3 linked regions of the Lonchura striata genome follow. The protein of the gene in region 1 binds, or shares a complex with, the protein of each later gene. Links are inferred from orthologs where the notes say so. Each region holds a gene or a part of one and is shown in the gene's direction. Other genes may lie near its edges.

Region 1 (10,710 bases):
AAGCTGTGGGGTAAAAAGTGATAGAGTGGGCTCTGCTGCTCATGTGAGTGCATTCAGCCCCACTGCATCCTGCAAATACCAGACTTCCTGAGATTTATTGTGGATGCACAACATAGATGACACTAATTGAAAGTTTCTGCTTTATTGCATGTACACTACACAGCATCTAGTTCTGGCCAGAAAGTCCTTGCAAGAAACCCAAACTGCTAGCCAGGGATGCTGGCTCTAGCTGTGGTCTCAGAGCATACCTGAATCTGAACTGTGTGGTTATAAAATAATGGCAGAGCACAGTTTGCCTTTGAGATTGTATTCCCAGTGCCAGCTGCTGCAGCAAAAGGACAACAGGGCTGGTTTGTGGATGGTGATTTTCTGCAATTTTTATTATGTAAAGCAGTTTCTGGAATGGGAGCTCTTCTGAGCTGCTATTCTCCTGTTGCTGCATCATGACACCGGCCTGAATTCAAACTTGCAAAGGTTTCAGCTCATTTGGCAAAATTTACTTATTCTCACATTGAAGGACTCCATGTTTTCCACGTGTAACTTATTCAGCTTTGTGTTTGCCATCCTAGAACGGATTGGAAACAGTCTGGTGGTGAAAGGTGAAGGACTGAGACTTCTAGGTAGGAGACACATCCTGAGAAATTAAATCCTCGGAGACAAACACAGAACACATTATCCACCTTTTATAGACTTACAGGGCTGGTTTTTGCTGGAGACTTCATTGACTTCCTAAGGAGTCACAGAAGCTGCTCTCTGTTTAGAAGGTCTCTAAAAAGAAAGAGTCAATGTTATTAAAAAGTAGATATTAAAGTTTGGGGTAGTGTATTTCCTTAGGGTCCATATTTGCCTATTTAGTACAACCTCAAACAGTTTTTTTTCTTATGCAATTCTCAAGAAAAAAAAAAAAAGAATGCATAACAGAGGGTTGTTAATACTCCTCCCTAACTCTGGGTAACAATCCTCATTTCCCTCCAGCTTAGGAATATTCACTGGCACAGAAAGGTATAAATTACATCTCTGTGTGCCAGCTTCAGAGAACCTGGCCACAAATACTTCAGTTGAGATGATTTTGTTCATTTTTTTTTAAAGGACAGAGAGAAAGATTGTGCTTCCTCTGATCTTGTAACTTAAGAAATATTAATAGAACAACCTTCAAGTAAAAAGATAAAAAGATGAAGTAAATGTTTATTTTAGACCTTTATTATAACGTGCAACTAATTAAAAGTGAACAATTCCTATCAAAGAGGGCATATGCAAAAGTAGTAAAATGAGATAATGTAGAAAATGTAGGAGAGTGAAAATCCAAAGAAAAAGTAGCTTTTAGCATAACAATTAACCACCCAATCTACCCTTCCTTTATTCCGTGCAGGGTAATTCATTGTAAGTGAATTAATGGTGAAACATTCAGTAATAGGCCTCAGTAAGGAAATAGGAGCAGTGTATCAGGATATCCTTTTTCCGCCCCAGAGTACCAATACTTTCAATTTTATATACAACGGAAGTAATTAATTGTAACACAAAGAAGCACAGCTGTGTTTCCTGATGGTCACACATGCAATAGCTGCTATTGTTTAGCATTCTGAGTATGTACAATGGAAACTGTTCGACAGCTTGGAATGTTTTATATTCTCAGGGATTTAATTTCCATTAGTAGCTTTTGAATCCATAGTGGATTTTTAATATGTTATTATCTTAGATCCAATCCTGCATCCCTAATCAGGTAATTTTTTGCTGATGCCAGTGAGAGTTTAAACTGTAATAGGTGTGGCTGCCAAATGAGGAGATTTGCAGACACAGGCAAATATTTCATTGGAAGCAAAGGGAGATATAGACTATTTTTTGGGATTTGCTTTTAGCTGTATGAGTTTTACTTGTTCAAGTTCCAGTTTCAGTTAATATTCAAGCACCTTACAGACTGAGAGAGAAAAGCTTCATTGCTATGCCTTTAACTTCATTATCTATTTTCAGACATTTTAGCTGAAATACAAGGATATCCTTCTATTATTTTGTAGTCCCATATTAGTTTCCCTAGAATATTAAAAAATAAGTGAATTAGACTATTTTGCTGCATTTACTTTTATTTAACAGCAATTTATTCATGTTTTAAGATATGTTTGGACTGAGAAAAAAATAAGAAAAATATGAACTTAGTTCATTTTTTTGTATAGGATCAGATCTGTTTCATTTTAAAAAGCTTGGAAGAACAGAGAATTTTCAGTCTCATAAATGTCCATCTTTGTAAATCTCTACAGTACCCCCTCCTACAGCTGCCAGAAACACTTCCACTTGAATCCATGCCCCCTGAGGATAAAGCCGTTACACGCACCAAGACAGACATTTTCTGTATTGATAAGAATTTGCCTTGTGTAACAGCAGGTTTTAAAAACATTTCTGCTTTCAGCATTGCTCCAGTTTCAGGACAAAGCCTGAGCATCAGGCTTAACAGAGGAGCTGTTAATACAGTGTGAGTTTGGATCTAAGGATTATTCCAACTTGTAAAAGAAACAAATGCCTCTTGTAACGAAAGGTGGAGGAACACAAACATTCAGCTTCTCTCAGTATAATTCAAACTTCCTTGTAGATCATTTGGCACCACTGACTGATAATTAGAACATAAATTTTAAAATCAGCACTATAGTTGAAATACTTAATCTTCTCTGAGCAACTGAAGACTTTGGGGATTTTATGTGCATGCATCTAGGGAAAACATTACTAATTCTCCAAACAAACTGATGTGAGTGAGGCACCCTGGTGAAACGTCTGCTGAGCCTACAAATACTTCCTTTTTCTGTGATAAGACTTTTAATGCTCTGGCTTTAAGAAAAACAAAGTAATTTGTATTTAAAAGGAGAGTTATCTCAGGGTTTATTACGACCTGGTGAGAAGACTGCAATAAGGGTTTTGTAAATGTGAATCCATAAAAACAAAATCATACAGCTCAGCTAGGCACAGGCAGAAGAAACAGAAAAAGCAGTGGGAAATCTGGTCCTTGACTGGGAAGATGTCTCCCAGAGCAACATGCTCCCATTACTGCAGCCCTTTGCCACAGCAGGGGCATCAGTTCAGTGAGGAATCAGCTCCCACCCTGCAGCTGCTGGGGACAGGCACAGCCATTGTGTCCTCCTTCCTCCATGGCCACCTGCTCCAGGCTGAGGAAGAATCCCCTGCAGAAGCCCAAGTAAGCCCAAATCACACCAAGTGCTTGAGCTGTGGGAACACTTCTGTTTCCTTGTGCCCATGCTCTGCTCATTGAGCTGTTATTCCTTGGATTATTGCCACAGTGCTCTCCAGTGCTGCCCCAGACTCAGTTCCACACCAGACTGGTTGGACTCTAGCCTGGACATGGCTTGCCTCTTTACTACCAGTGATCCACTAGCAAAAATTTTATGAACACATTTCTTCACAGATTTGACTCTGCCTTATTGAATTATTTTTGCTTACATTTAAAAAACCTAATAAAATCCACGACTTTTGTAAGTAACAAACAGCTGAATAAATTTATAATCAAAAGAATATGCTTTCAAGTAAAATAGTTCTGAAAAACAGACAAAGCCAAATTCATGTCATATTAAGTGAAATAATTGTGTCCCTGGCTGAAGGGTAATAGTCTTTTAATATGTAACATGGAATATTTATTTTTGTAGCAGTAACAGAGAAATACTCATCTAATTGCAAACAGTCCTCAAAAATATATTTGGACCACAGATTTAAGACATCTGAATTCCAGAGACTGAAGGGAAGAAGGATCTACAAAGATCAGGTCCTATCACATGACTGACCTTCTCCCTATATATACCTCTTTGTTCTTTTGATATTCAAGTTTGTAGTTCCCTAGTGATTCCAAGAACTAATAAGAAATTCCTGGGGAGGAAATAACAATGAAAGCAGCTGGAAGACTGTCCTTTTTTTTTTTTTTTTTTTTTTAATACAGTTCTCTTCATCATGACAGTCAGTTTTGAACTGCTTCTTCTGTATCTCATGTTAGACTTCCACATCTCATCTTGGCCAAATGTCAAATAAACTTATGTGTTTATTTTCAGATTTTCAGACCTCGGTTTTTTGAATATGGCTCAATTAACAAAATAAATGCTTAGTGTTACTAAACCTGGTATGTCTGAGTTTTTGCAGATTCCTAAAATCCTCATCAAGTAAGATTGCTGCTGCTAATTAGCTTGCTGGAGCCCTGTGTCTTTCTGAGAGCCCATCATCTAGTGTTCACTTTCTGGTTTAAAAAGGTCTCTCTACCTATTCTGGTAGAGATGTTTGAAACCTAAGTACTGCACTGTTTTGAAAGACACCAGTATTTTCTATGTGATATTTCATCAGATGTCCATCACAATCTAAATACTTTCAGAAGGTCATTATGATTCATCATTTTAGATTAAGATGCAGTTTGGTCTCCTGTAGTCCTAATATTACATAATGTAGTTTATTTTGGCCAACTTTATTTTGTGATTAAGACAAGGAGTTTATAGTTCTCAATAATGTAGAGATGGGCATTACTTGCTATAGCAATACAAAACTTCATCCTCAGCAACACTGTTCCTGATCTGACAGGGACTTGTGGGTATCTTCTATGCCCAAGTGCCTTGAAAAGTACTGGCTGAGACAGCAATTTCTGCAATGTGCAAATTTACACACCAGGAACTGGATGAAAAAAAGTTGATCCATTTCACAAAAAGGGTTAAATCCATTTCAAGGCTAGTGGCTGTTGCTAAATTCATGCATCCTGGATTGGAATCAGTATCTAACATCTGACGAGCCCCGGGCTGTATTAGCACACATTATTACTGAAGAGATGCTAGCACTAACAGCTTTGGTTCTGCTTGGGAGCACACACACGCATGTTGCATTCTTCTTCCATATTGAGTGTCTATTCTGCTGCTATAATTTCATAGTACATAGAGTGGAAGAACAGCAGACTCATATTTTCCTTTGAGATTATAAACATAAGCACAGGAGTTCTGTATTGCTTGGCATGGAAGCTGTGATTTTGTCTTTCTTGTAGGCTGGCTTTGTTTTGGACACTGACAGATTTTTCTGGATGATGGTGATCGGAAAAAATTTTCTAAAAGTCTAATAAGACAAGACCTGCATTTGCAAATGCCTATCACCACATACAATTATTAGGTGTGTATTTACCTGCCTACATTTTAAAGGAGTCTGTGAAGGTGATAGGTTTGAAGTTATACTTCCTCTTTTGTTTTTCTCTGTAGGATAATACAGAAGTGAAGTGCTCATCTAACAATCTGTGGGTGAAATGCACGTGAGCCAGAATGCAAAGCCAGTGCTCTCATCTTACAGAGGTGACAACTCTGGAGTGCAGTACACAACATTTACAAGTCCTATCTGATATTAGCATGCAAAAATGGAGCTATACTGTGAAAAGGTCAACACAATAAGCAAGCCCATGTTTCCCACAATTTATGCACATGTGGTTATTTGGCACCAATAAACCAGATTGCTTCCCAACTGGTTATTCTCTATGCTCAGTTTATCTGGGCAGCCATCTCCCCACCAGCAATTACTGGTGTGTCCCGAAGGCCTAGAGAGTGTTATGGTGTGCAGCAAAGGGAAACTGAGTGGTCTGTACGATCCATGTGATCTTCATTTCCCCTGCAGCTGGCCTTGTGTGCAAAGTTCTTGATGCAGAGTAACCAAGTGGCAGGACAGGCGAAGGGCAAGAGGACATCAGCAGCGCAACTGCTGTCACACTGTCGAGTGAAGGATTAAAAACAGCAGCCCAGGTGGGAGCTGTGCCACTTGCATGGCACATAGCACCGTCACTGGAGCTCCTTCTGCACTGCTGCTGGGAGACCTCACCTGAAGACAGACAGACAAATTATTACTTTTCCAATTTGTCCTAATGATAAGAAGCTCTGAAATACAATGCAAATCGTGGCCTTCAGCATCCTTATCAGCAGGCAGAGCAGCTCATTGCAGAAGTTAAAATGTATTCCAATCTAAGTAACTGGGCATATTTATTTAGATACAGGAAATGGAAAAAGCAAACAATGCTGTCCTTTGCAATGGAACTCTTTCCCTCCCGCGGCAGTGCAACGTCAGCCTTCTCAGAACTATTCTTCCACGAAGCCGAGAGGCCCATGCGAGTCCGTCCTTCTTCCCGGGCCGCAGCCGCCGCCGAGCGCTCGGTGCGCTCCGCAGCTCGCAGGCGGCCCCGAGCTCCCAGCACAGGCGCGGCGGCGATGCCGCACCCACCTCCCCGGTGAGCGCCGCACCTGCCCCGCCAGCACAGGGACGGAGCCCCCGGCCCCGCAGCCAAACCCAGCCGCTCTTCTCGCGGCTCGACCCTCTTCGAGGCCAGAAGCGCTTCCACCACACCGGCTTGGCAACTTTTCCCCTCACACCTTCCCGCCCTTTCCTAGAGGAGCTCCCTCACGGGGACAGCGCTGCTGCGGCCCGCGCTGCCGGCCGCGGAGGGGCTCCCGGGGAGGAGAAGCGGGCCCGGCCGGCTCCTCCCGGCCAACCTTCCCTGCCGGGAGCCCCGCCGGCGCTCCCGCCCCCGGCACGTGCTGAGGGACGGGCGGGGGCGGCGGGCGCGCTCCCGCCTCCCCGCGGGCCCCCGCCGCGCGCGCGCCCGGCTGCAGTGATTGGAATCCGGCTCGTTCCCGCCCCGCCCCGCAGGGACGCGCCGGGAGCGCCTGCCGGGACACGGAGCCTGCGCCGAGCCCGCGCCCGCCGGCCCGCCCTCCCCCGCCCGACACGCACCCGCCTTCGCCCCCGTCTCAGCGGAGCCGTCGGGGCCCCGGGAACGGCCCGCGGAGCGCGGCGGGGAGCGGGCCCCCTCCGCCTTGGCCTGCCGTCCCCGCGCGGAGGATGAGGAGCCCCCACCGCCGGTGAGTGCGGGCCGCGCCGCGGAGGCCTCGGCCGGGCGGGGACAGCCGGGGCGCGCCGGGCAGGGAGCCTGCCCCGCTGCCTCTGCGGCCGGGGCGGCGCGGGGCGCTCCCTCCGCGGCGATGCCCCTTCCCCGCCGCCGGACGGCCGGGCCGGGCGGCGCCCGGCGGGGTCCGCGCCGTCGAAGGTGGGCTCCGCCGCGGCCCTCCCGCCCGGCCCGGCTGCTCGGGGCGCCGGGAGCGCCCCCCGCCCGGCAGCGCTGCCCCGCCGCGGCGCTGGGGGCGCTGCCCGCCGGGCCGGGCCGGGCCGGGCCCGCGGGTCCCTGCGGGGGCAGGGCCGGCGCGGCGCTCGCCGGCCGGGCCTCCCTCCCTCCTGCCCTCCCTTCCCTTCCCGCTGTTGTAATGCCGGGCCCGGTGCCGAGCGGCCCCAGCCCGAGCGAGCGGCAGCGCCCGTCGTCGTGGGAAGGGTACGAGGAATAAGGTGCTTCGCCTTCCTTTTGTGCGAGCCTTGAACAAAGCTGGACGCCTGCTTTCCAAATCGGATTTTGCCGTTCAGCGACGTCAAACAAAAAAAGTCCGAGGAAATAATAACCCCAAATAATCGCCCGTACCTTAGTAGTGAAAGACTGTGCTGTTGAGGACCGATTATTTACGCTGTTTTCATAACTGGTTACAAAATCTACTGAACAGGGTTCAAAAGCACAAATGGCTTTTTACCGCCTTTCAATCAACCACACTCTGATGTTGTTTTGGTAAAATTAAGAGTGAATTCAGCAGCAGGGAATGGTAGTAAGCTGTGGTATTTCCTTTCAGCAGTTGCCTGTTACTTTGTGTAAAGTTGTATGACGATTTTTCCCGTGTAAATTGATTGCCCTCCGAATTTACATATTTTGTTCTCTGCTTAGAAGTAATTATCTTTGAGTTCTTTTATCAAGTTAGCATGCTAGGGATTGTTCAGGCCTGTTATCTGCAAGGATAGAGAAGATGGTTTTGTAGATAAGGAAGACTCTCCCAATTTGAAAGATTTGTTTAGTTTTTAGTAGAACCTAATCCTGGAATAAAAACGCTAACATAAGAGCAATTTGTTGTCTGATATACAGCTAGAAATACTCCATGTTGTGGCATTTGTAGCAGCCGGGATAAAACTCTTGCTGATCGTGTATTTGTCTTTTGGTCTCATTCTTTTGTCGCTTTTTCTTAGGTTTTTCACCACATTTTCTTTGGGGTGTGTGCAAGGGGCTGTGTATTTTATATGTATTTATATAGACAAGTGCTACCTGGTAGGCTTTGAGATGTGGTTTGAAATTTTATGAAAGGTCTTCTTGTGCACCTGCAAGATTCAGCTGACAATCCTTAGTATGTCCTGCTGGCTGATCTCTTCCAGCAACAGAGAGTATATGTGGCTGGATCTGAATTATTTTCTTCCCTTAATTGTGAAGTAATTTAGTTTTGAAAGGGATCTGTGGATATTATCTGTTTGAGCCTTTGTTCACGTTAGAGCAGAAAGCTCTTGGTAAGCTGCAAGGCTGAAATAGCTTGTTACTTGGAATTCACTGATTAAAAGACAAGTTTACTAAAACAGTATGTAGCTAGAGCATAGACTTTCTTAGGACCAGTGTGTGGGACCCCAAAGCCTAATGTTTTGGACAGTGCTTTGCAAGATCCTCGCGGTGAAAATTGTTACGCATATTAAAAATACTGAATATGGTGGAATATGTAAATGATATGTGAACTTTTTCTGGATACCAGGTCTGACATACAGAGCTGCAGTAGCTTCTTTGGGAAATTGCTGGAAAACACAGATGAATGAAAGAGACCAATCAGTATGTGGCAGAGAAACTTAGAAATGATTGTTTGTTTGTTTGTCCTTCCTTATTTCAAGCATCAGTCCTATCTGGATACTTGGGGCAGCATCAGGCATTTCTTCGTTCCTCAGTAAAAAGAGGACATATTTTCAGAGCCTGGAATTTCACTTACCTTACTGTCATCTGTAAATAAATGACAGATGGAACTCAGCAATTTAAAAGTATATCTCATCAGAGTCATATGTGGGTACAGATGGAGTACTTGAAGCCTTGTTTCCTTTGCTAGTATTCCCAAAATGAAGGACTTAGAGGCAGGCACAGAATGGGCCTGACAAGAAGTTTTTCCTTTCCCTGCTGCTTTAGTGGCTCCGCTTTTCCCTTTCTTGGACAAGATCCACAGAACCCTCTGCAGTTGTCCCACCACAGCCGTGCTGATGGTCCCCAGTAGCAGTGGTCTCTTTTGTGCCTTCCAGGATGGTTAGTGCTTTAAGGGGAAACATGATTTCTTTCTGCTTTGTTTTCTTGCATTCTGTTAAAGGTTGCTGTGAACGCTGTTGAGGGCTCACTGCTCTCAGGCAGCAAGTAGTTACTTTTTAAAATGTTTAAAACTGGCAAAGAGTGTAAAACTTGCCCTGCTATATTGTGTCCTTTAAGAATAAAAAGGAGACCACACTAGGTGATACTTGGAATGGGTAGAAGTTTGAAACAGTCACCTCATTTTTCTTGTGTACAGAAAGCATAATTTTAGCAATCTCCTGCTCTTATTGAGAAGATCTGTGGAATAGCTATTTTGTGAGGGATTTATTCCAGAAACATCAGTGTAGTACTTTGTATTTGGAGTATGTAAATCCCAAGAGCTTTAGCTTGATAGAACACACAGCTGGCCCTCCAGTGATCAGGAAATCAGGGGACAAGCTGCCAACTTGCCAGGATGGACTTTGCTGAGAACTGGCTTCCCAGGACTTTGCTGGGTATGTTTACAGAGCATATAAGGTGTATTTCATATCCATTTCTCTCCAAAGTAAAACAAAGCAATTATGCCACTAGTCTGCAATATATATTTTGAAATTCGCTGTAGCAGGTTGGACACTGAAGCATTTTAGGTTGATGTATATTTGATATATTGAGAAGACCAAGAACTTCATTCATCTTGTGGTAGAGCAGAACCCTTGCATGGGTTTCTGGTTATGACCCCATTGTTTCAGCTGTACACAAACAGTGTGAGAAATATAGTCACTCTGTTTCAGATTTATAATTCAGAGAGGTTTTTTCTTGCCATTTTTCTAAAGTGTGTCTTGTAGTTGCCATCCCGTTTCGTTTGAATTCGGGGCGTTACGGTTAGGTTTAGTACTGTTTAATGGCAGTCTGGTTAGCAAAATTCAAAACAAGTGTTAGGGTAGGAAAATAAACTCTGGTTCATGATTGTGATAATATTCATAGGTTGTATAAGCAGGAGGAAAGGAAAAGCCACAGCAAAGCCTTATTGGAGGTCACGTATGTCACCAGCTCTGAGTTCCTGCAGTGACACCTGTAGTTACAGTGAAGGTGGTTGCCCTGATGGAGCTGTCCCTGCCATCACCACACTGTCACGGTGACTCTTCACGGGGGAGGGGAAAGTGCTCTGAGTATCACGAAGGTGGGAACTTTTAAAATATTTTGATTAGACAAAAATCTGTGTAGTAACAATTCACAGAATATGTACCTGCAACATGCAGCCTAATGCTCTTGTGCTTGTTTTTTCCTCAAAATAGGTTTTCCCAAAATTCAGGGGGAAATGTAGTGCATTTAAATGTAATTCGAGTGTCATGAGTTGCTTTGCATTAAAAAGGGAAAAAAATCAGTATTATTAACTCAGCTCTGCAATATTGCAGCTTAATTTGCATCATGTAACAGCAGCAATGCTTGTTACAAAAATTTGATATCGCATAAATTTTTGTAGTGTGGTTTCAGTCAACTTTATTAGATTAAAATGTGGAAGCAACTAGCACTTCTTTGTGTCTATATTCCCTGAGTTCACCATGTTAAGGAGAAAACTGTCAGTTTTCTACTAC
Region 2 (10,387 bases), on another chromosome or scaffold:
TGGGTTTTCAGAAGCCAACAATTTTTTTGTTCCCACCAAAAAGCATAGTCTGACCAATCTTGTGCTATTTCTAGGAAAATACAAAATGGTTACTAACAAACTATGGAGCATATATACAAAACACTTGGTTCAAAAACAGGTCTCTGCAAACACAAATATTTTAGATTAAAGCAGCAGCTACAGGTCTCAGCCTAGACCCTGTTTGCTGAATTCTTGTGGTAGTCACTGGGAACCAACTTTGTTTTCCCTGAAGACCTAACCTAGGTGCTGACTGTGGCACTGCCTTAGTCTTGTGGATATCCACAGGGAAAGAACGTCTCCTGAATCTTGTGCTACATATGGTGCAATGCTGTTAGGATTTTGCTGGGATAAGGACTAACAACAAAGTGTCCCAGTTCAGAACTTGTCAGTGCAAGCTGGAAATCCTCTACAAGATCTCCTGTGCACCCAAAAGGGCACAAGTTCTTCCACAGCCTACTGGCAGCAGCACTGAGCAGCTCATCTCGGTGTTAAGAACCAGCTTCAAGTCCATGGAAGTCTTAGTTACACACAGCTAAGCAGCAGCACATGCACAAGGAAGGAGATAAAGTATTTCTGCTCTCAATTCCATGGGAGTTCCAAGATTATATGACTTCCTAGATGTCAATATGCAGTAGCAGATAAAGCTTCTGTGTGATCTTGGCCAAGCTGTTTCAGTCTTTGTATCAATCCTTGCTCCTCATCAGCTCCATGAGGCAGAGGCTATTCCTCAGCATGTCCATAACACAGCAGAGCCCTGTCCTACTTTGGAGTCCCCTGGTAGGAGCTGTGTCTCAAGACAGCTGCTGGCACAAGTCAGTTACAGATTTGCTTTAAATATTAATACAGAAAGCTTTTCACACTAGCTGAGTATTTTTAAAAAATACTGTGAAAAATTATTCTGACTCAGTGGAAACTCTGTTTCCGTCTGAACCGTGTGTCTGAGTGTGCAGAGGGGTTGACAGAAGCGATCTCTTCCTGTGCTCCCTTGCTGTTCCTATACACAGGGGATTTTACTTTTCACTTCCTAACTTTGACTCGGCTAGTCTTGGCTTTTCCCAGCTCTTCCCTACTGTATATATGCAATGGGTAACACAGCTCAGACTTAGGCTAGAATGCCACAATAGCACAGAAAACAGGATTTCCGAAGTGCCTTTTAAAAACTCACCCTCTATGACAGGCTGGATAAACAGGGCATCACCTACCTCTCTTGCCCCCCAAACCACACACCTGTACCATTCTTCTGGAAAGGGACTTGAGCAGTTAGCCTGGTTTAATTATTTTCATCTAACTGAAAGACAACCCCAAAGTTTTGTTGGCACTATGGTAACACAGAGAGTGAAACATAGGGAGGGGTTCTGACCACAAGAACCTCCACACTCTGCTGTGACACAGAAGTGAGGCAGTACCATTTCAAAACACACAAAAGCCTTTCTTCATACAGGGAAAGCTGCACATATTATTTAGTAATACTGTAAATAAAACAGGTCTTTACTCACTGATTTTTTCTACTAATTTCAGCATCAGTCCTCCAACATGAAGGTCCCCTGTGACCTGTAGTGGAATTTCCTTTTCTACACCTTCATGTTGATGATCAACTGTCAGTAAGAGGTCCCAGGTGTGTGACCCATATTCAGTTGAGGAAACCATCTTGGGAAAGGTCTGTGTAAGCTCTGCAAAAGCAAACCAACCAAATGAACAGGATGTTTTTCCTCCACTCTGAAACAAATGCATTTCTCCAGTCTCAACATCATTCCATGCTGCCAGGACTTCACAGAGGCCTTGGGTGGAACTTCAGAGATGTTATCTTGTTACCTCTGAACTAGACTCTGCTCCTGCAATCGCTCTTGCAGGATAGGAATGTGGGATTTTTTGGTTTTATTCTGATTTTGCCACACCCCCAACCCAGATGCCTCCATTTGGGTAGATATAGCTCAGTTTTAACTGGGCTTGCCCACCATCCAGTGCTAATCTACCAGCCTGGACGCTGTAAAGCCTACAGTTGTGGGATCTGCTCTGGTAATCTGTCCAGTGAACAAAGGCATTTTGTTGACTTGTATGCTTAGGGCTCTAATTTTTACTGCAAATCCAAGTTTACATTTGCAGTTCTGCCAGCTTTCTCCCACAGGACCATATCCAGAGAGTAGCTTTACCTATTTGAGTACATGCAAGGGGAGACAACTTTAGTGGCTCTCTGCCAGCATTATCCAGACACAGATCTGCAGTTCTTGCTGACTTGCACAGGGATGTAGGCATGTGTCCTTCTCAGCAGGGTGAATCGTCTGAGATCTCACTAGGCTCCTGCCAGGACAGGTGAACAGTAATCATGCCAAGCCAAACTAGAGGAGACGCTCCAAGTAGAAGCTTTGGTTAACATCAGCTGGGTTCTGCTGAAGAAATAGCTTGTAGATATAAGGTAACTGATGGTGCAGGCAGGATTTGTGATATATAAACAGTGAGACAGCTCTCTGTCCTGAAAAAGGCCTTTCCAGTTGAGGTGTAGGCACTAAAATGGATGAATTCCTTTTATTGTTAACTTTCAACAACACACGAGAACCCAGCTCACAGCCTCTTGTTGAAGGGGCCCTACTCAGACTGCTTTTAACATAGCAAATAACTATGCCAGAAGGGATGAAGCAATGTTACAGGCTGTTGTAGATCTTCTTAAAAATAAGTATTTAGTAATGTAATACCTGATGTCAATGCCGCTGATATAAAATTTGTCATTAAAGGGATAATAGAGATGAGGTGGTAACGACAAACATAAAGGCAATGAAAATGTATACATTAAAGATTAAATGGATTTCCCCTTAAACAAATGACATTATAAATGAATAATCTGACCAGCTCAAAGCCATCATTTTAGTGGGAAATCACCTTACCAGTGAGTTTCACTGGGAAGGAGCTGGGAGTCTGCCCTGAAGTTCCAAAATTACACACACACACACACACACACACAGAGCCCTAAGTCGCAAAACTACAGCTTCATAACTGTGTGACTTGAAGAGGCCAACTCACCCTATGGAGCAAGCCCTGTTGTTAACTGGGTTCTTACATGTGCCAGCCTACACCTTTACACTAAACAGTTACTAAACCAACAAGGGCTGGTACTTATCCAAGAAATTTGCTTGCTTGCCTTGGTAAATAAAGGCATTATATTGGACACTGGGAACACTGCCTTTCCTGCCTCTGGGATAAAGGATTTTGAATTTGTGCTGCTGTGTGCCACATGATTTACGAGCTTAGGTATGCACTAGACCAGGGGGTACCCGTGGAGGGGAAGAGCTGTGGCTTTCCTAAAAATTCCAAGACCCAGCTCCCGAGACGGTCTCTGGGCAGGTGAGGCTTTTAGCACAAGTGCAGTACAAGGTGCACAGGACAGCTGTCGTTGTGCACCTCATAACAAAACAAAAGCCCTGACTTTAGGAAAGTCAAAATGCCCCTAGTTATGCTCCTAAGAATAAATAAACAACTTCAAAAGTAATCCATGGCCAAAGGATGACAACTTTGGGATTTTATTTCAGGAGCACAGGTGTGCAGTCCAGCAGATGAATTCTACTTCTGCCCACCCTTGTTCCACTATAAACTTTGTTCCACTATAAACCATTATTGTTGCAGAAAAGCAGCTGTCTCATCTGCCCTCCTGGGCCAGCGAAAACATTTAGGAATTGATCTGGATTTTTTTGGGGCGTCTTTAGATTAGGTTTCACTTCCCAATCTAATTCTGCACACAAAGCCTGTGCTGATGCGGGTGAAAATGAGCAGCAGCCTAAGGGGTGGGTGAAACCCTTTCTTTCACCAGCATGGAAAACCATGGCCCCAGTGCACTACTCCTGGCACTCCATCATTCCCTGAAGCCGCGCACCTCCCCACTTCCTCTTCTAACCAGGAGGTTTCAGTTTGAAGATAAGGCAACACAAACACTTGCAAATCTACCGGAGTACGCAGCACAAACAAAGCCTGGTCTCGAAAACGGGGCAAGGAAAGCAACGAGGACGACGAACCCCTCATTATTATACCCCAACCAAACCCAAACCGACAGGGTTTACATCTTACAGCCTTCAGGTCAAGCCTGGATCTGCTCGGGAACGCGCCCCAGCTCCTGGGCTCCACGTGGGAGCTGCAAGGCCTGGCACGGGTAGATCAAACAGGCCAGAAACGTGTCCTCAGGCTACTGCTGTCTCCACTCGGCATTTCTGCAGCGCACTGAAAATCAGCAGTTTCTGCAGATCGAGCTCTCCGCAGATTTTAGCACTCACAGCCCCAAACTTCTAACGCTGAGCGGGAACGGAGAAAGATGTGAATCGTGCTGGAGCAAGGTGCTAATGACGCGGGGTTAAGATCAAGAAGGTCCCGAAATATCTCTCAGGCTGGCGGTGCCCGGCGCAGCTCGGAGGGTGCCGGGGGCCCGGCCTGCGGCGCCCACGGTAGCGCCACTTCTACTTTAAGGAAGTACCGGCAGCCGCGGCCCCGCGGAAAGGGCTGTAAAAGCAACAAGCCCGGGCAGTCGGGCACTCCCGCCCCGCCGCAGGTGCCGCGGGGCAGCGCAGAGCCGCCCGCGGGTGCCCCGTGCTGGGGTCGCTCCGGCATCGCCCCGCGCTCCCCGCGGGCGCCCCGCGCTCCTCACCTGCCGTCCCCGCCGGCAGCGCTTCCCTCTCCTCCGCGCCCTACGCCGCTACCTTGCCTCGGAGAAACAGCGGGGGGAGGAGTGGAGCCCGGGAGGGCGGCCCTTCCTTCCCCTTCCCTCCAACAGCGCGCGGTGGGAGTAAGGCGGCGAGGAGCGCTGTCCGCCCGGCGGTGCTCAGGGTCACCCGCTCGCATACCCCCCAGAGTCACCACCTCATCGATGACCCCAGGCTGCCGGGCAGCTTCAGCTGCTGCTTTTAGAGGTTTGAGGCTACCCGGAGAAAATCGGTTCCGAGGGTGCAATGGCAAAGAACAGAAAGTTTGTGAGGTGGAGATGTGTTAGAAGAGGCGTGGATTGAACTGAGAGGAAAGGGGCAAAAGCTTTTCCATGAGCCAGATTTCCACAGAAAGTCTTTCTTGCCTTAAACTTTTGACTTACACGGTGGTACAGTGATGAGGTGAAGCACAGTGGAAAAACCATATCTATGAAAAAGAGAAACAGAGAGAATAAAGGACAAAATTATTTCAGATAAAACTCATATCCTGGAAAAAGACTGCAGAGATACAAAGTATGAATATTTGACACACTATGGGCAGCAAATAGTTACTCTCATGAGAACTATGCAGCTGTGAAGTTGTCAAACCACAGATAGTATCACAGGATATTTGCTCCCCTAGGCTTGCTCCCTGAGCTACTCTGATGATGCTTATCTCTTTAGATTGTCTATGCATGCACTTGTCGTATCAGACATCCTTGGAGACAGGAACTCCAAAGCTCATGAAGACTTTCAGAGCCTTCTATCACCTGAGGGCACACTGAGGCCTTTAATAACCTCAGCCAGACCCAGCCGGGACCAATTTCAGGCATTCTACTTAAGCTCAGGCTGAGGGGCATTTTGTTCTTGGGGTCATGTGGAGTAACTCTACTTTTGCTGCTCCTTGGCACTGGCTTGACACTGTCTTTTTAGCTCTTTGTAGGACAGTTGGGTAAGCTACCTGCTTATTATTATTTAAATAAACATACCTCTGTAGATGAGCAAATAAATATTTATGGACCATGGGGTAATGTAACATTCAGGTGTGAATTGGTTAGTGAACAACCAAGCCTGCTGTTGCTGTGACCTCAGGAACATATTCTTGGGTGTTTTTTTTTTTTTTGTTCTCTAAACAAATAAAGAAAAATCACAAACTTTTGACCAAATTGGGAAAAATGGCGCTTGGGAGATAATCAATAAAAGCAAAGAAGGTTGCCAGGCCAGTCAATAAACATTGATGTTTATCTCCATGCTGGTCCCAATTCTGACCTCTTTTAAGTGTGAGCGTTATTTCCCTTTCCAGTTGCCTGTGAGCTAACTTGAGAGAAGAGACTGTAGAGTTTGATGTCAGCCTAGTCCTGCTGTGCCAAGAGGGATGGGGCTCATGTTCCATCTGGACTGCTGGAAAAATCTGTCGCCTATCTGCCAGATCCCTTGGAGAGGAAATGCACTTGCTGGATGAAGAAAAAATGATCTGGAAAAAAGACAGAAGACAAAGAGGTGGGGGGTAAGCTCTCTGTGAATCTAACAGAAAGTATTGCAAGAAAATAGGTGGGTTTTCAGTTGACACTGATCAAACCCCCAGCATCTGAGGCAGTGATGGTTTACATCTGAAGAGTTGCAAATTAGGGAATGCTTTGGAGGCGGTGTTTTCATTTTCAGTCATCTCTCAAGGGGCTGAGGAAATCAGATTTGAAGACCTGTAATACCCTCATCCTGTCAGAGGTGAGTGGGGAAAACTGTAATTTAGTAATAAATTTTCTTTTCCAGAGTTCCCATGGAAAAGGACAGGAAATGGAACGTGCATTTGTAGCTTCTTAACAGTTTATATCATAAAAGCCTCCTTTAGTCAGGAATAAAGTTTGCTGGAATATAGGTAGTGTTAATTTATTCTTGGGGTTACTCAGCTAAGGCTGAATGTGATCTGTTTAGAGTTTGATCCCTTTTCCAAAGGGTCTACTAAACACCTCTAGCTGAGAGTGTCTTAGTAGACAAATATATGTTTTTGGGAGCATGAGGAAGTAACATGACAAAGACAGAATAATAAATACTGATTTTTTGGTAAAATGTGTATTTTTTTCTTCCAATATACTTTTAAAAGCTTTTCTTAGGCCAGTGTTATAAATTATCACCAAGTGATGATGTAATCATGTAAGACTGGCCCAATTGTTGTGTTAATGCACCGTCTGGAGGAATGTCTTCTCTTTTTTCATAGGCCTCTTTATTTCTGTTATGATTTTTCCTTAACTATAGGAAGAAAAAATGCTCAGTATTTAATTTTGGGTGAGATCACCCCAGTTTGTGGATGCATGTGTTTTCCGAATTCCCATTCCTCTCAAACTTGCCTTACTTAGATTCTCTGTGTTTCCATGCAATAGCTGTACTGCTTCCTCCTTCTCCCAAAGCAGCATTTCCCACTTGGGGTTTGCCAGGCTGTGGCAAAAGCAGATCTAGAGCAGAACCATGGGGGGATGGGGAACAGCAGCGACTTGTTGCAAGTGCTGCATTTCTCCCAGGTCTCTTTAGACACTCATTAACTTCAGTTTTAACAAGGAATTACTTGTGGGAGTGCCAAGAGTTAGGAGGGCAATTGGTAAGTTCTCAGTGTAGGAGAAGTTATATAAAGAAGTTTGTATAATATTTTAATGTTCCTGTGAGTTCCTGGCACATGTAAGTTTACTAAAGCTTTGAAGAAGCTACTGTTGGTGCTTGAACTGAGGGCTTAGATTGTAGGTGAGGACTAAAGCTGAGCAGAGAATGTCAGTGTTGTGTTCTTATATCCTGTAGCTGGTCAGTGGGCATCTTCATGTACTGACATCAAAACCAAGGAGGGGAGATGTAAAAGAGTGGCGCCCTCTCCCATCATGGAAAACTTGTTATTTTGTGATGTGATTTCTGAAATCTATGCTTGGTAGACAGATGGTTTTTGTTGTGCGAAATATTCCACTTGTAGGCAAAGAAGTAAAGTGTGTCTCTCTGTGTCCCCCCCCTTCACTGACAAAGAAATTAATCAATGCAAACCCTGGCATGAGCACCAGGCACTACTGACAAAGCTCTTGAGAAAAGCTGATCTGTACCACACAGGGTCTTCATGTTGAAAATCTGCACTCTGATAAATGTCCACAAGTGGGAGGTGGCAATACTTTATCCTTTGGTATCCCTTGGCTGTAGTGCTGGTTGGTGACACCAACAGCCATTATCTAAATATCTGAAGCTTTGGAAAAATTCAGTTCGTGTAAGAGAAAAATCTAAATCCTGTAAGTGGAACCTGGATTAAGAGGAACAATAAAAGTCCCTCATTTTCTTGGTTTAGAAGAGTTGAAGCTGCTGTTGCAGATCTGAAATGAGGTCTGAAACTGATGCACTGGGGTGCCCCTGGGCACAGAACAGACAGCACTGACCCATAATGAGTCAGGCTCACTAAGGGTGTCTGTGTTCCCACCCTCTGGGTGTTGGGACTTCTGGGGGTTTTTAAAGTCTGCTTTCTGACTCTGGCTGGCTCATGCTTGAAAAGCACCACATAGTGAAATACTTCCCTGCCTGGTGCAGAGGGTGAGTCATTTAACATTGCTACCAAAACCCCCTCCCTAGGGGGAACTGAGAAGGGTGAGAGGGAGGGATCAGAGCAGACTCAAGAGGAACTGACCAAAAAGGACCATAACAGTGAGCATGTTCACCAGACAGCTGATTGGTGACACAGACCTCTCTCATGATGCTTTCAGCTGAAGCAATGAAGCTTTGAAAAGCTAGAGTTGCAAACAGAACTATTTTTCATGACCAAGGATGAATTCATCCTACTATTCAGCCTTTTTACCTTCCCTCAGTCTGGTGGTTGCAAAACAGAGTAAAAAACATATGATGATTTAGACTGTCTTTTAGGCTTTTTCAAAAATGGTGGCTTGGTCATCATATCTATTACATGGTGTAAGACTTTCAGGAATCCTTACCTTTTCTGTGCGCTTGTAAGTCAGGGCTACAGGGAGATGGTACCAAGCTAATCTTGAAAACTTTCCTCCTAAATATGTATCTGCATGGTTAATTAAAGGAAATACATTTTCCTTTTTTACCCTTGGAGCCCAAGCACCTCCTGTGAGGTTGTAAAATTTGAGTTAAAAGTTGTTAATGCCTGACTGAGTACATAAAAGTTAAAGACTACAAGAGACAGCATTACATCAAATGGTGGCCAGTGAGTTGAGTCTGCATTCTTTGGGGGGTGTTTCTTGTGGATTCTGTCATGTCTGATGGGAATGTCTTGCAATTGTAATCTCAGCTGTAGGACCAAGTGAAGGAAGAATCCCAAAGTCTAACATAGGATTTGGTACTATCCTTTCCAAAACAGGAGTGAGAAAAGCTGGGTTCAAAATTATTGTCTGATTACATGCTGTTATTTTCTTTAGGATACTGGTTCTCAGCTGGAGTGACACTCTGAGATATTATCTGATGCTGGATTGAGGCTGTTTGAATGGAAGCTTTTAAGATAAATAGACTCACCTTTGTCTGACCTCTTCAGTTTAAAATTGCTCATATTAATAGTACCCTAAATCATTCTTCATCCTTTTTAGATGCTTTAAATATAACAGTTGTACTTACATGATCTAAATGAAACTGAAAGTTCTGTGTCTGTGCAGATGAACTAAAGATAGTAATTTGCCCTGAGGAGACTGAAACTGAAATGGGAGGCAGGATGGAATGTAAAAATGGCCCCACTCCATTCCCAGGAACAGCAGGATGGCTGGAGATTGCATAGTAGCTCTGTTTTAAATCAGCTGTTTGTGAGCCACAGGTGGCTGAGACAGAGTTCTATAGGTGTTCCCTACTCCAGCCCTCAGCCCTGGGTCAGCCCTAAGCGCTGCCTGAGTGCAGCTATGTGCTGCTCCCTCAGGGCCCACCAGGACCTCTGGTGCAGGTGGGATCTGTGCTGGCTTCCACTGAGCTGCTTCTGCCATCTCCTGAGCTTTGGGCCACAGCCCTGGTGAGAGCAGAGCTGTTGCTGCTAGGATTCTCCCTCTGCATGGGCCACACAGGTGTGCCCTGGGGCTGGACTAGACACTGGGGCTGGATTAGTTTGAGGGAACAGCTCTTCCCTGCTCCCCACAGCTAACTCGGTGTGGAGGAGAAGGCAACACTGTCTGAATTGTGCAATGCATCGGCAAACTTGGGATTCTGCTATGAAAGGGGGTTGTGCAACTTTCCTGAATGAAAAGCAATGCAAATGCTGTATTGCTAAACTTGGATTTCCATCCAAATGTGCAAATACACTTTAATATTTTTTTTTTTTTATGCTAGACCCAGCCTTTTAAGTAAAGAAGCTTTAAGTAAGACTTCCCTTTGTCTATTCCTGCACCTAAATCAGCATTTTCCAGAGACTGAGCAGCACCTGGAGTTCCCCTAAGGCATGTGCCTTGTGAAAGCTGTAGTGTAATTAACACTCTGAAAAATCATGTTGCAGATTCATGTGCCTAAGGGTAGGGATTTTCCCCGTTTCTTCTTTCTCACTCCCCCACCCTTTCCAGTCTCTAGCTGGATTGTCAACTCTTACGGTTTCATTGTTACTCTTGTGTTAATTCATGTTTCTTAGAGCTTACTCTCTAAAAGCCAGGCTAGACTTTGAGAACAGTGAGGAAAACCTCACAATATGGATTCAGGTGTGTTCCAAACCCATTAGCAAATATTTTACTGATTATTTAAAAACTAATTTAAGGAAGAGA
Region 3 (9,901 bases), on another chromosome or scaffold:
ACTGGTTCTTTCTCCAGGACAGCTATATCATGTAACATGCAGCACAGTCCTCTCCCGAGACCCAGGACAAATGTAACTCCAATGAAGCACTCTTTCACAAAATTAAAATCCTCAACTGGGTTTTCTGGACTGTCATTTCTGGGACTACTGACTGCTCTAAGAATGGCAACTGGACAAAACACTGATGGGAAAACTCACAGTGTTTCTCTAAACCCTCAGACAGTAAAAACCTGCTTTCTTGTAATTGGATTGTGGAGCGTTTTTATTGGTCTGCATTTGGGAACTTTATATACACCCTTTTTAGTTAACAACCTGCAGCACACTCACCCCTCCAGCTTTCACTTGCTGCTCCAACTCTCGACACCAGGTCTGGTACTGCAGTACCTAAATGGATACAGAGATTACAGATGAGAGAAGCAGCTTGTAATAGACTCTGCTCACCTCACGTTAACTTTTCTCTGACTCTGTCGAGCCCAAGCACAGTGATTCTGATACACTCAGCAAGAAGTCACTGCAATATCGGGAAGCGTCACTTTAATATGACAGAGATTGGGGCAGGGTTTCTTTCACCGTAGCACTGTCTGCTCACCTGAGACAGCGGCAGCAAGCAGAACGATGGGACAGGTGCGGGCAGCTCTCTACCTGACCTACGGCCCCCACGTACCCCGAGCCAAGTGTTCAAGGGGGCTGTTCAAGGGGGTCCTTGAAGCGAACAAAACGAGTTTTCAAACTTGCTCTGCAAACAAACCGGCCCGACTCCTGCCCGGGACAAACCCCGCTAACAGGGCCGAGCAGCAGCGAAGCTGCAGGCACCGAGATCGAGATCGGGAGGGGCTCGGCAGCGAGACCGCGGCGGGACGGGCGCTCCCGGGGCCGCCCCGAGCCCCGAGCCCCGAGCCCCGAGCCCGCGCTCGGCACCGCCCGCCCGGGAGGCCCCGCGGGCTCCCGCCGAGTGCCCCCGGGCAGCGCGGGCGGCCCTGCACCGCCTCCCCGCCGCCGGGCACCGCCCGCTCCTCACCTCGTTCTGCAGCTGCCGCACCAGCCCCGCCTGGCGCTGCTGCGCCTCCTCCGCGCTCCGCAGCCGCCGCCGCAGCGCGCCCGGGCCGAGCTCCCCGCCGCCGGCGCTGCCCGCCATGGCCGGCCCGGCCCCAGCGTCCCGCCCCGCCGGCCGCCCGCCGGAGCGCAGGCTCCGTGAGGGCGGGGCGGTGCTGCCGCCCTGGGGGCTCCGCTCTGCCGCCGCGGGGAATGTAATCAGGAAAAACAGTGATCGTGCACCCTCCGCAATGTCATCGGGAATTGTCCTGAGACTTGGTTAAGCCCATTGCTAAAAATATGTTTCATTTTGTATTTGGCTGCTGAATAACGCTGGCTTGTTTTCACTCCCTGTTGTTTCCTGTGACAGCGAATGCTTCAGCGCTGACATTCTGGGTTTTTTTAAAGAGGTGGAATAAATGAATTGCCATCAAAATTTTCTTTGTCAGCAAAGTAGTTTGGGATCTCAGGATCTCTCTCTCAAATCTTGAATCATATAAATATGCTTCTATTACAAAGATGAACAATACCTATCAAAGGCAACTCAGGGAAATTAACATTGTATACCAAATGGAGGGACTCTGTTACTGAATAGGCTTGAAGAAACTTGAAACAAACCCTGAATTTCTCTAAATGATAACAGGCAGAGATACCAAAAATTAGGGGGAAAAAATTCCCCCTTAATTCAGAGTTGGGGAAATTAGGTACATCTGTAGGAATCAAAAAACAAAAATAACACTCCCACTCAGGATATTTCATGTTTCTATGATTCTGTGCTTTGTAATTCACTACTGCTTGCAGATGTAGCCAAGTTTCTTGATTACCAATGACACAATTATTTCTTTGGACTTGCAATTTTTTATTTAACATCACAACATGTTAGCACAGTGTTTTAAATTTTGCTACCTTCACGTGGAAGTGGAAACATCATTACATTTGTTTTGCCCTGGCCCAAGACCAGCAAGTTTTAATTATTGCATCTGTAGGTTTTGTGTCATTCTTTCCTTTTGAAAAGCACAGCGCTGTTAATTTCCTTCATAAATTGTAAGTTCACACTTCTAGAAAACAGTTGCCCAAGAGCTATGGTGCAAAGGTCTAAATCCTCACAGAAACAGAATGATAATTAGATTCAATCAGCAAAACAACATGACAGCAAATAGCTTAATATATGGCACTAGCTCAGTTTTTTAAGTCCTTTCTGGAAATTAGTCCACCTGGGAAAGGACAGTGAATTTCCTGATAGATCACTATAAAAACTTCCATGTGCAGCTTCAACTGCAAGTAAGCGGCACAGAGCAAATTGTAACTCTTGGCATCACATATCCAATGAAGCTGCTCATCTGCAGGGATTGACAGTGTTTTCAACACTATGAAATCTTCCTCTGGCTCCCCAGAGTCATCCCTTCCTCTAGACTATGCAGGACATCCTACATCAGAAGGGCTGAGATTGTCTGAGAAAGCATCACAGCTCATGTAGGCATAATCTCAGGATATGGAGAGCAGGAGGCAAGGCACTTCCAGGGAGCAGGGACACGGGTGGCCCTCCCTTTTCAAATCCATACTCACACCGTGCGAGGGAGGAGCTGCTGTCACAGAACAGCTCAGAAGGACAGGTGGGCTACATGAACGCGGCCACTTGAGGTTGCACAGAAATTTGGCTGTGATGAGCAGTGAGAGGCTTGGAACACCACTTCCACTGTGTCCAGAGCCTCACCAGCAGGAGGGTTTCTAGCTACATATTGAACATATCAGTGGAGTTTGAGTTTATCCAGCTGGAATGACTCCACTTTGGTGTAGGGTTCATAGGAACTCCCCTGTCTGTGGGTCTTGTTCAGGGTCAGCATTCCATTCTGGGGTCTGTGGGGCTCAGTGCACTCTACAGCATCTGTGCTCCCATGGTTCCAAGCACTGAGATTGTGGTTGCTTCAAAACAGCCTCTTTTAAAGAGAGAGATTAATTTGCACTTGCTTTTTACTTTCTTTTCCTTTGCTTGCTTGTTTTACTTGCTTTTCCTTTTTCTTTCTGTCTAGCTCTGTCCAGCCCACTAAGATTTTTTAATCTCAGGCATGTAAATATTCTTTGAACATATCAATGATCATGTTTTAATTTGATTTACTAAGACAATGCCCATGTAATCACATTGTCCAACCTCCTGCTCTTTCACCTCCCATCTCTTAAATCTGTTTGCAAATCACAGCCAAGTTTGATAGAGCAAACAAACTTTTAAATATATTAAATTCTTACAAACATTGTGAAAACTGGAAGCTGGATAGATTAAAAGTGGAAATTCAACATTTAGCTTCTTTTGTGGCTTACTGGCAAGCTGATCAATGCCCCCATGGTGCAGAACCAGACACAGCACATCACCCAGCAGAAAGGTGGGCAATATGGGAAGGATAAAGTGATGGCATGGCTGGGAGGGCCATGGGATGGTGTGGAATGACTGCTGGGGAATGGTTTCATTAGAGGTAACTCCCAGGAGAAGCTGCTTTATTTTGTAGGGAAATATCAAAAGCAAACTGACATCAGAGGAAGGGCTATTAGATCAAAATCAGGAAAATCATGATTTGAATCTACCTTATTTGTGACATCTGTAAAATCACTGAACTCTTCTATCCTTCAGTTCCTCCATCAAAATAAGTGAAGCATTCAGAGCTTCTTATGTCATGCAGGTTGTTATTTATGAAAGCAGTTCAGTGTTTCTGATACTGGTCAGGGTGGGTGGGGAATGCTACAGCACACACAGGACAAGCCAAAAGGTGGTGTACCTTTTTCATTTCATCTTAACTCAAAGAAAAGCAATTGCAGAAGGACTGGGTGTAGCATCAATGCAAGATGAGAGATGAGTCCCAGTAATCCCTACTGAGTCCAGCGCCTTCTTTCCCGAAGGCTGATCTAGAACAATAGCTCGTTTTTTGCAGGTTATGAAAGACAGATTTGGCTGAAATGTGCAGGACAGCCTTGACATGAGGAGTGCTGGTTTTGACCTGCATCCTTCTTGGGGCCCCAGGGTCAGCAGCTCTTGGACATTTTGAATCTAAAATTCAAAGGCTGGTGTTCAGCAGTCTCGGGAGGAAGGACAGGGTTCGGCCTGCCTCCAGCTCCCGAGTGGCTCTGGAGAAGAAGGAGGAGGAGGAGGAGGAGGAGGAGGAGGAGGATGGCTGCCTGCAGGGTGCACTGCTGCCTCGCTGCACCGCGCCCGCCCCGCGGGGCATCCCCTCCAGCAGGAGCTGCTTCTCCAGCTGGGCTGACACGGGTTTTTTTAAGCACAGCAATAAATAAGCCAAAATACACTGACTGTGGGCACGGCCCTGTTGAGTTTGTGTAAAATTAAATGTTACCCTCGTTAAGCGCCTGCGTTCCAGCGCAGCCCTTCAGTCACAAGGGGACGGAGTGAAGCCACTGTTACAAGCTCTCTGGAAAAAAGGCTACATGAATTATTTCTAAATTAGTTTATGTATGTGTCCAGTGGACTGTGTGACAGGTCTCAGTTGTTGATCTTGCAGTTTGTCCTGTCTAAACGTGAAGTTCATCGAGGGCTAAGGCAGAGGTCATACTGCCACTTGAAAAGGCATCCTCTGGAGTTTTGAGCCTGTGGAGCTGTTTCACATGAGGCAGAGTATGACTCATGCTAATGAAAAGGGTAAAGAAGATTTTTTTTAAGAAATATATCGCAGTAAAATTAGTTTAGACAGCATGACATCAGAGAGTAATTAAATAGGTTTGTTGGAATTCCGTTTCCAATTCCAGAGTTCAGGTTTGTAAAAGATTTCTGAGCACCTGCAGATCTCTGTGTGTGAAATATTTTCACTGGAAAGGATTCAAAACTCAAAACTTTAAAAAAACCTTTTAACACAGAGGCAGCATTACGCCATTCTTCCTTCTTGGAAAAAAAAAAAAAAAACCTTGGATTTAAACAAGACTCCTTCAAGTTTTCAGTCAGTTTTACAGAAGAAAACGAGGTGGTAAACTTTCTCTTTTCAAGAACAAGTTCTTTATAGCTGCTAACTGAAGTCAGGGGAGATCGTATCTGAGTACATGAGCATTTCCACTATGGGACTGGATACAAGTATTGAACAACGATATTTGAAATGTTTTAATCTCAAACAAAAACCATTTTTGCTAACTTTGGTTTTTAATTTCTTTCATGTTTTCTTCTGCCAAACTGGAGGAACCTTTTCTGATTTTTTCTTTAGTGGCATTCAGAGGAAGACCAGAGGATGAAAATCCTGCATTTTCTCACTTTACTGCTTTGGCATTTGACTTGGCTGTCTCTGGATCTAGTTCCTGGAGTGCTGAGTAATTCTGAAGCAGGCCAGGGTAATCCAGGATCTAAATTAGGTTTTTTGAAAGCAGAAGGAAAGGAGAGGAATCCCTCCGCACGAGCAGGTACATTGAGGACTTCAAGCCATGGATACAGTGCTGGGACCTCAAAGGCCAGGACTAAAAGCAGTGCTGCTCAGGCTGGAGCTCTGCTGGCCAAGAATGATGACTCAAAGAAGGTTCCCTCAAGAACAGCAGCTGCAGAGGGCAAGGTAGGACATCTCCCCAGCAGACCTTCTGGAGTAAGGACAGTGACTCCAAAGGTTCAAAATCTTAGCAGCAAGGTGGCTTTGAAAAAAACTGGCACAAGCAGTACTGACACTGATTCTTTCAAAACCAAAAAGACTAAAGAGCCTGTAACCCAGAGGGAAGCTAAGGAAACTTTCCGACATCCCCCAATAACGCCACATGAATACATGCTCTCTTTGTACAGGACTCTCTCAGATGCAGAAAGAAAGGGTGTTAATGGAAGTGTAAAACTGGAGGCTGGACTTGCCAATACAATAACCAGCTTTATAGACAAAGGACAAGGTAAGAAAGAAGCTTGTGTGTGAGTGAGTGTGGACAGAGAGAGATGTCTGAGTGTGCTTATAAATGTAGAAAGTATTGGAAAATAATCATATTTCAGTAAAGTCAAATAGCTCTTTTTAATGTAAATGAAATCACACAACTTTGCTGCAGATTTTGTCCTCCTGCATTATCTTGGAAAACTCATTTACAGGCAGAACTAGATGGTTGTGTGGAAGCCAAAGAAAACATTTGGGAAATATTTTAGATGCATATTGTTGAAAATCAATCAGTCTTTGCATGCTTAGGTGTTTAAAAACCTTTCACATTTTTGCCTTATTTTCTTTCTAGCTGTCTGGAAACTAGCTCATGGAAACAGCTAATGTTAGATTGTAGTGTGCCTAAAAACATATAATATGCTAAGAACAGAGCTATTCTTTGAAAAAAACCCACAAGTTTCAGTATGAAAGGGCCAGTCTGGTTTGTTCAAGGTAGAATTGTGAGGAACTACACTGCACTATCCTGTGGGGTGAGAGTATCTTTAGTAGCTTAAAACTTTCAGGTAGCACCAAGGAGCCCACAGCTCAGCACAGGCTACCAAGGGTAATAACACCCAGAACTTGCAGCTCAACATTCCTGTTCCAAACACTTCCAGAAATTTGGGCTAGTGTCTGCTTTCATAGGAGAAATAACCAGCCTCCCAATGAATGATGTTCACCTCAGCACCCTTCTTTGGGAGCCCCATCTTTCTTCCAGTGACATTTGTAAGAGTTTTGTCATGTTCTCAAGGAAGCAACACAGCTGGTGAAGGAATTGTGATGAAAGACTCGCCAGGACTGGATTTGTTAGCCATCTCTTCATTAATAGCTTGGCTGCTGGGAAGGGGGGATGCGCTGCTCACAGGTGCTGCCTTCAGGTTCCCAGCTTGCCACTGGAAGCCACTGTTAATGTCACATCACTGGAATGAATATGGTTCAGCCATATTCTTCACCACCTGAAGCAAGTGATTGTAAAGTCAGGATGAAGGGAGGATTTTTTTCTGCCCAGTTTGAAAAATTTTAAATCATGTGGGATTTAGTTCATGAGGCAATTATCCTTATGTCTAGCAGTTCCTGGGGATACTGGTTTTAAAGGACTAATTCACTATTGCATCATCTAAGGGTAAATTTACTCATGTTTGGAGCCAGCATAAGGCCTGGCCACCACTAAAGCTCTCTTTCTGTAATTTAAGTAGGTTATAAGTGGTAAATAGATCCTGTGAATGCTCAGTCCTGAAAAAGTATTAATTTTCAACTGGCTAATAACAACTTTGAAGGTAGAAAATGCCCACTGGTGAAAGAAATGGGATTTCTACAAGGCAGACTTGGAAACTCATTTCTCTGGTGAGTCCCTGATTTCTTCTGAGTCCCTGCATGGGGCTGATCCCTTAGACAAAAATTGCTCTTTCTGTTCAGTGGGTAAACTTTGAGGCTTATGAGCAAATTTGAGGAAAGCCATTAAGAACTGAATAAGTAATATTGGTCTGTGTTTGATGTACATTTAAAAATCTGTGTGCTTTTTTCAGATGAGCGAGCACCAACTATAAGAAAACAAAAATATATTTTTGACATCAGTGCATTAGAAAAAGATGGATTGCTGGGAGCAGAGCTTCGAATACTGAGAAAAAAACCTTCTGATACATGGAAGTCTCATTCTTCTGGGAAAACTTCCCAAGTAAAATTATTTAGTTGCTCTACAAACAGACAAGCCTCAACACTCTTGGACTCTCGGACTGTCAGCATCACCGATACACCCAAGTGGGAAGTGTTTGACATCTGGAAACTTTTCAGAAACTTTAAAAACTTGGTTAACTTGTGTTTTGAACTGGAAACTTTTGACAGGGGGAGAGCTGTTGATCTCAGGAGTGTGGGATTTAATAGAACAGGAAGACAGGTCAATGAAAAGGCTCTGTTCTTGGTGTTTGGGAGGACGAAAAAAAGAGACTTATTCTTCAATGAAATCAAAGCTAGGTCTGGCCAAGATGACAAAACTGTTTATGAGTACTTATTCAACCAGAGGCGGAAGAGAAGAGCTCCTCTAGCAACACGGCAAGGGAAGAGGCCCACCAAGAACCTGAAGGCGAGGTGTAGCAGAAAAGCCCTCCACGTGAATTTTAAGGATATGGGCTGGGATGACTGGATAATAGCCCCTCTGGAGTATGAGGCGTATCACTGCGAAGGGCTCTGTGAATTCCCCCTCCGATCCCACCTGGAGCCCACCAACCACGCAGTTATCCAGACATTAATGAACTCCATGGACCCTGAGTCCACCCCCCCGACTTGCTGTGTCCCAACCCGGCTGAGCCCCATCAGCATCCTTTTCATTGACTCTGCAAACAACGTGGTCTACAAGCAGTACGAGGACATGGTGGTGGAGTCCTGTGGCTGTAGGTAGCAGAACAGTTGCTTATGTGAATATGTTATGAAAGGCAATTTGACACATTGGACATAACTTCTCCTCAAACAAGGTTAACTAGGTTTCTTACCCCTAGGGTAAGTATGTTTACAAGGATGTAGCAATAAATCCAGTGTTTTTGTGTCTCTCCATGGACATCTTTCAGTAGCATTTGGATGCTGTCACTCAGCTGGATTTAAGGCCTTGTGCTGCTGGCAACACAGGACTGACTCTATGTGAAGTCCATGACAGAGAAGATGATTCCTGTACACCTTGAGATCTCCTGCTTTTAGCTGCAAGGTAGTGGATAGAGATGAGATCAGTGAGCTGTGGATATGAACTGTTTGTTCCTTGAACATTGTTCTGGAGAATGAATTTCTATCTGATTCCTATGTCCTTTGTCCATTCATAAATGTGAGAAAAGAATCCCAATGTTGAGAAGAATTGTGTTCTGATGTACCCCCATCTTGGTGTAAATATGTACTGTAATATGATTTCCTTCTGATTAGCTCTTGAAACTATGCATATATAAAAAGGGGTCATTAAACATAATATGTTGGTTTAGTTTTAAGTTTTACATAAAGATAGGTGATGCAGGAGGTATTTGCTTCCATGTATGTTTTCCTCCAAGCTACACATCTTTCTTAAGTATCCACCTTTCCATTATTATGTAGCAAAATATATTATTCTGTATAAGGTCCAAGTTGTTCTCAAGTGCTCATAGTAAAAGCATTCAATTATGGAATAAGATGTAATAAATTATTGACACAGTGCTGCATTGTGCCTAGCTGTCCAACTCTGCATAATTATAATGCAATTAAGAAATTGTTTTATGTTTTTGTACAATAAATATGTGAAAGGGACTTTTCCATGGAGCAGAATACCATGGATATGCACAACATGTCTGTGTATTTTGCTGCCACAGAGAAAAACCGTAGAAACATTGAAAAAAAGATCTGAAAGGAAGACCTGGTTTGATCTGGTGGGGAATGACACTATGAATTGATGTATTTGGAGCAAAAATGAGTTATGCAGAGGGTTGCAAAGAGCTTTGGTATACTTTTATTCCAACCTCTAAGGGCTGTGTGCTTGTATATCCCTGTTATCTATTACAGACATGAGTTATAAATGGGATTGTCCCTCTATGTTTCCACCCACAAAGGTAGATACCAAATGTTCAACTACAGATGGATCAGAAAGGTCCTATGAACCATCAGAAATTACTGAAGGATTTAATCAGTAATACAAAATATAAATGCTAAGGTTTGATATTACTTAGACCATTAAGTCATAGAATTTCCTGGGTCTGCACAGCATCACTGGTGTGGGTAGAGGCAGAGAGCTGAGTACAGTCTCCAAGGTCCTTCTGCTCAGTACCCCAGTCTAGACATCCTCAAACTCATGCCAGCAGCAAACCATCCTAAATTCCTGGTCAATGGTCATAAACAGTGACATAAATTTCTGCCCTTCCTCCTGCACTCTCTGGGCAGCTCAGCCTTTAACCAGCTTAATGTATCTGGATAAGCAGACTTGCTGCCAGACACCTGGGGAAGCCCTGTGCAGGGGACCTGCCCTGTGCCCTCACCTGCAGCTCAGGGATGCAGAA

Evidence for each region.
Region 2: the proteins of BMPR1A (region 1) and BMP2 are in contact, whole or in part, in a crystal structure (PDB 2QJ9), measured with the Homo sapiens proteins. The link is inferred for Lonchura striata from reciprocal best matches to the Homo sapiens genes BMPR1A and BMP2. Residues at the interface, in NP_001393490.1 of Homo sapiens: His66, Cys67, Pro68, Asp69, Ile77, Thr78, Asn79, Phe83, Ile85, Cys100, Met101, Lys102, Glu104, Gly105, Phe108, Gln109, Asp112, Arg120, Ile122; in NP_001191.1 of Homo sapiens: Lys297, Pro330, Phe331, Pro332, Leu333, Ala334, Asp335, His336, Ser339, Asn341, Ile344, Val345, Leu348, Asn350, Ser351, Val352, Asn353, Ser354.
Region 3: the proteins of BMPR1A (region 1) and GDF5 are in contact, whole or in part, in a crystal structure (PDB 3QB4), measured with the Homo sapiens proteins. The link is inferred for Lonchura striata from reciprocal best matches to the Homo sapiens genes BMPR1A and GDF5. Residues at the interface, in NP_001393490.1 of Homo sapiens: Gly65, His66, Cys67, Pro68, Ile77, Thr78, Phe83, Ile85, Glu87, Cys100, Met101, Lys102, Glu104, Gly105, Phe108, Gln109, Asp112, Ser113, Lys115, Ala116, Gln117, Arg120, Ile122; in NP_000548.2 of Homo sapiens: Arg399, Phe435, Pro436, Leu437, Ser439, His440, Glu442, Pro443, Asn445, Val448, Ile449, Leu452, Ser455, Met456, Pro458.

Annotation. Positions count from the first base shown.
Region 1 is NC_134609.1:6,125,290-6,135,999, forward strand, and holds the start of BMPR1A (bone morphogenetic protein receptor type-1A), read left to right. Parts: upstream 1-6,632; 5' UTR 6,633-6,857; exon of another isoform or gene 6,858-6,919; intron 6,920-10,710. UniProt on the Homo sapiens protein: On ligand binding, forms a receptor complex consisting of two type II and two type I transmembrane serine/threonine kinases.
Region 2 is NC_134605.1:24,943,946-24,954,332, reverse strand, and holds the start of BMP2 (bone morphogenetic protein 2), read left to right. Parts: upstream 1-6,269; 5' UTR 6,270-6,404; intron 6,405-10,387. Other genes in the region: FERMT1 (fermitin family homolog 1), read right to left, coding at 1-70, 1,518-1,668. UniProt on the Homo sapiens protein: Growth factor of the TGF-beta superfamily that plays essential roles in many developmental processes, including cardiogenesis, neurogenesis, and osteogenesis. Induces cartilage and bone formation.
Region 3 is NC_134619.1:13,420,762-13,430,662, reverse strand, and holds GDF5 (growth/differentiation factor 5), read left to right. Parts: upstream 1-5,231; 5' UTR 5,232-5,252; coding exon 5,253-5,886; intron 5,887-7,426; coding exon 7,427-8,295; downstream 8,296-9,901. UniProt on the Homo sapiens protein: Growth factor involved in bone and cartilage formation. During cartilage development regulates differentiation of chondrogenic tissue through two pathways.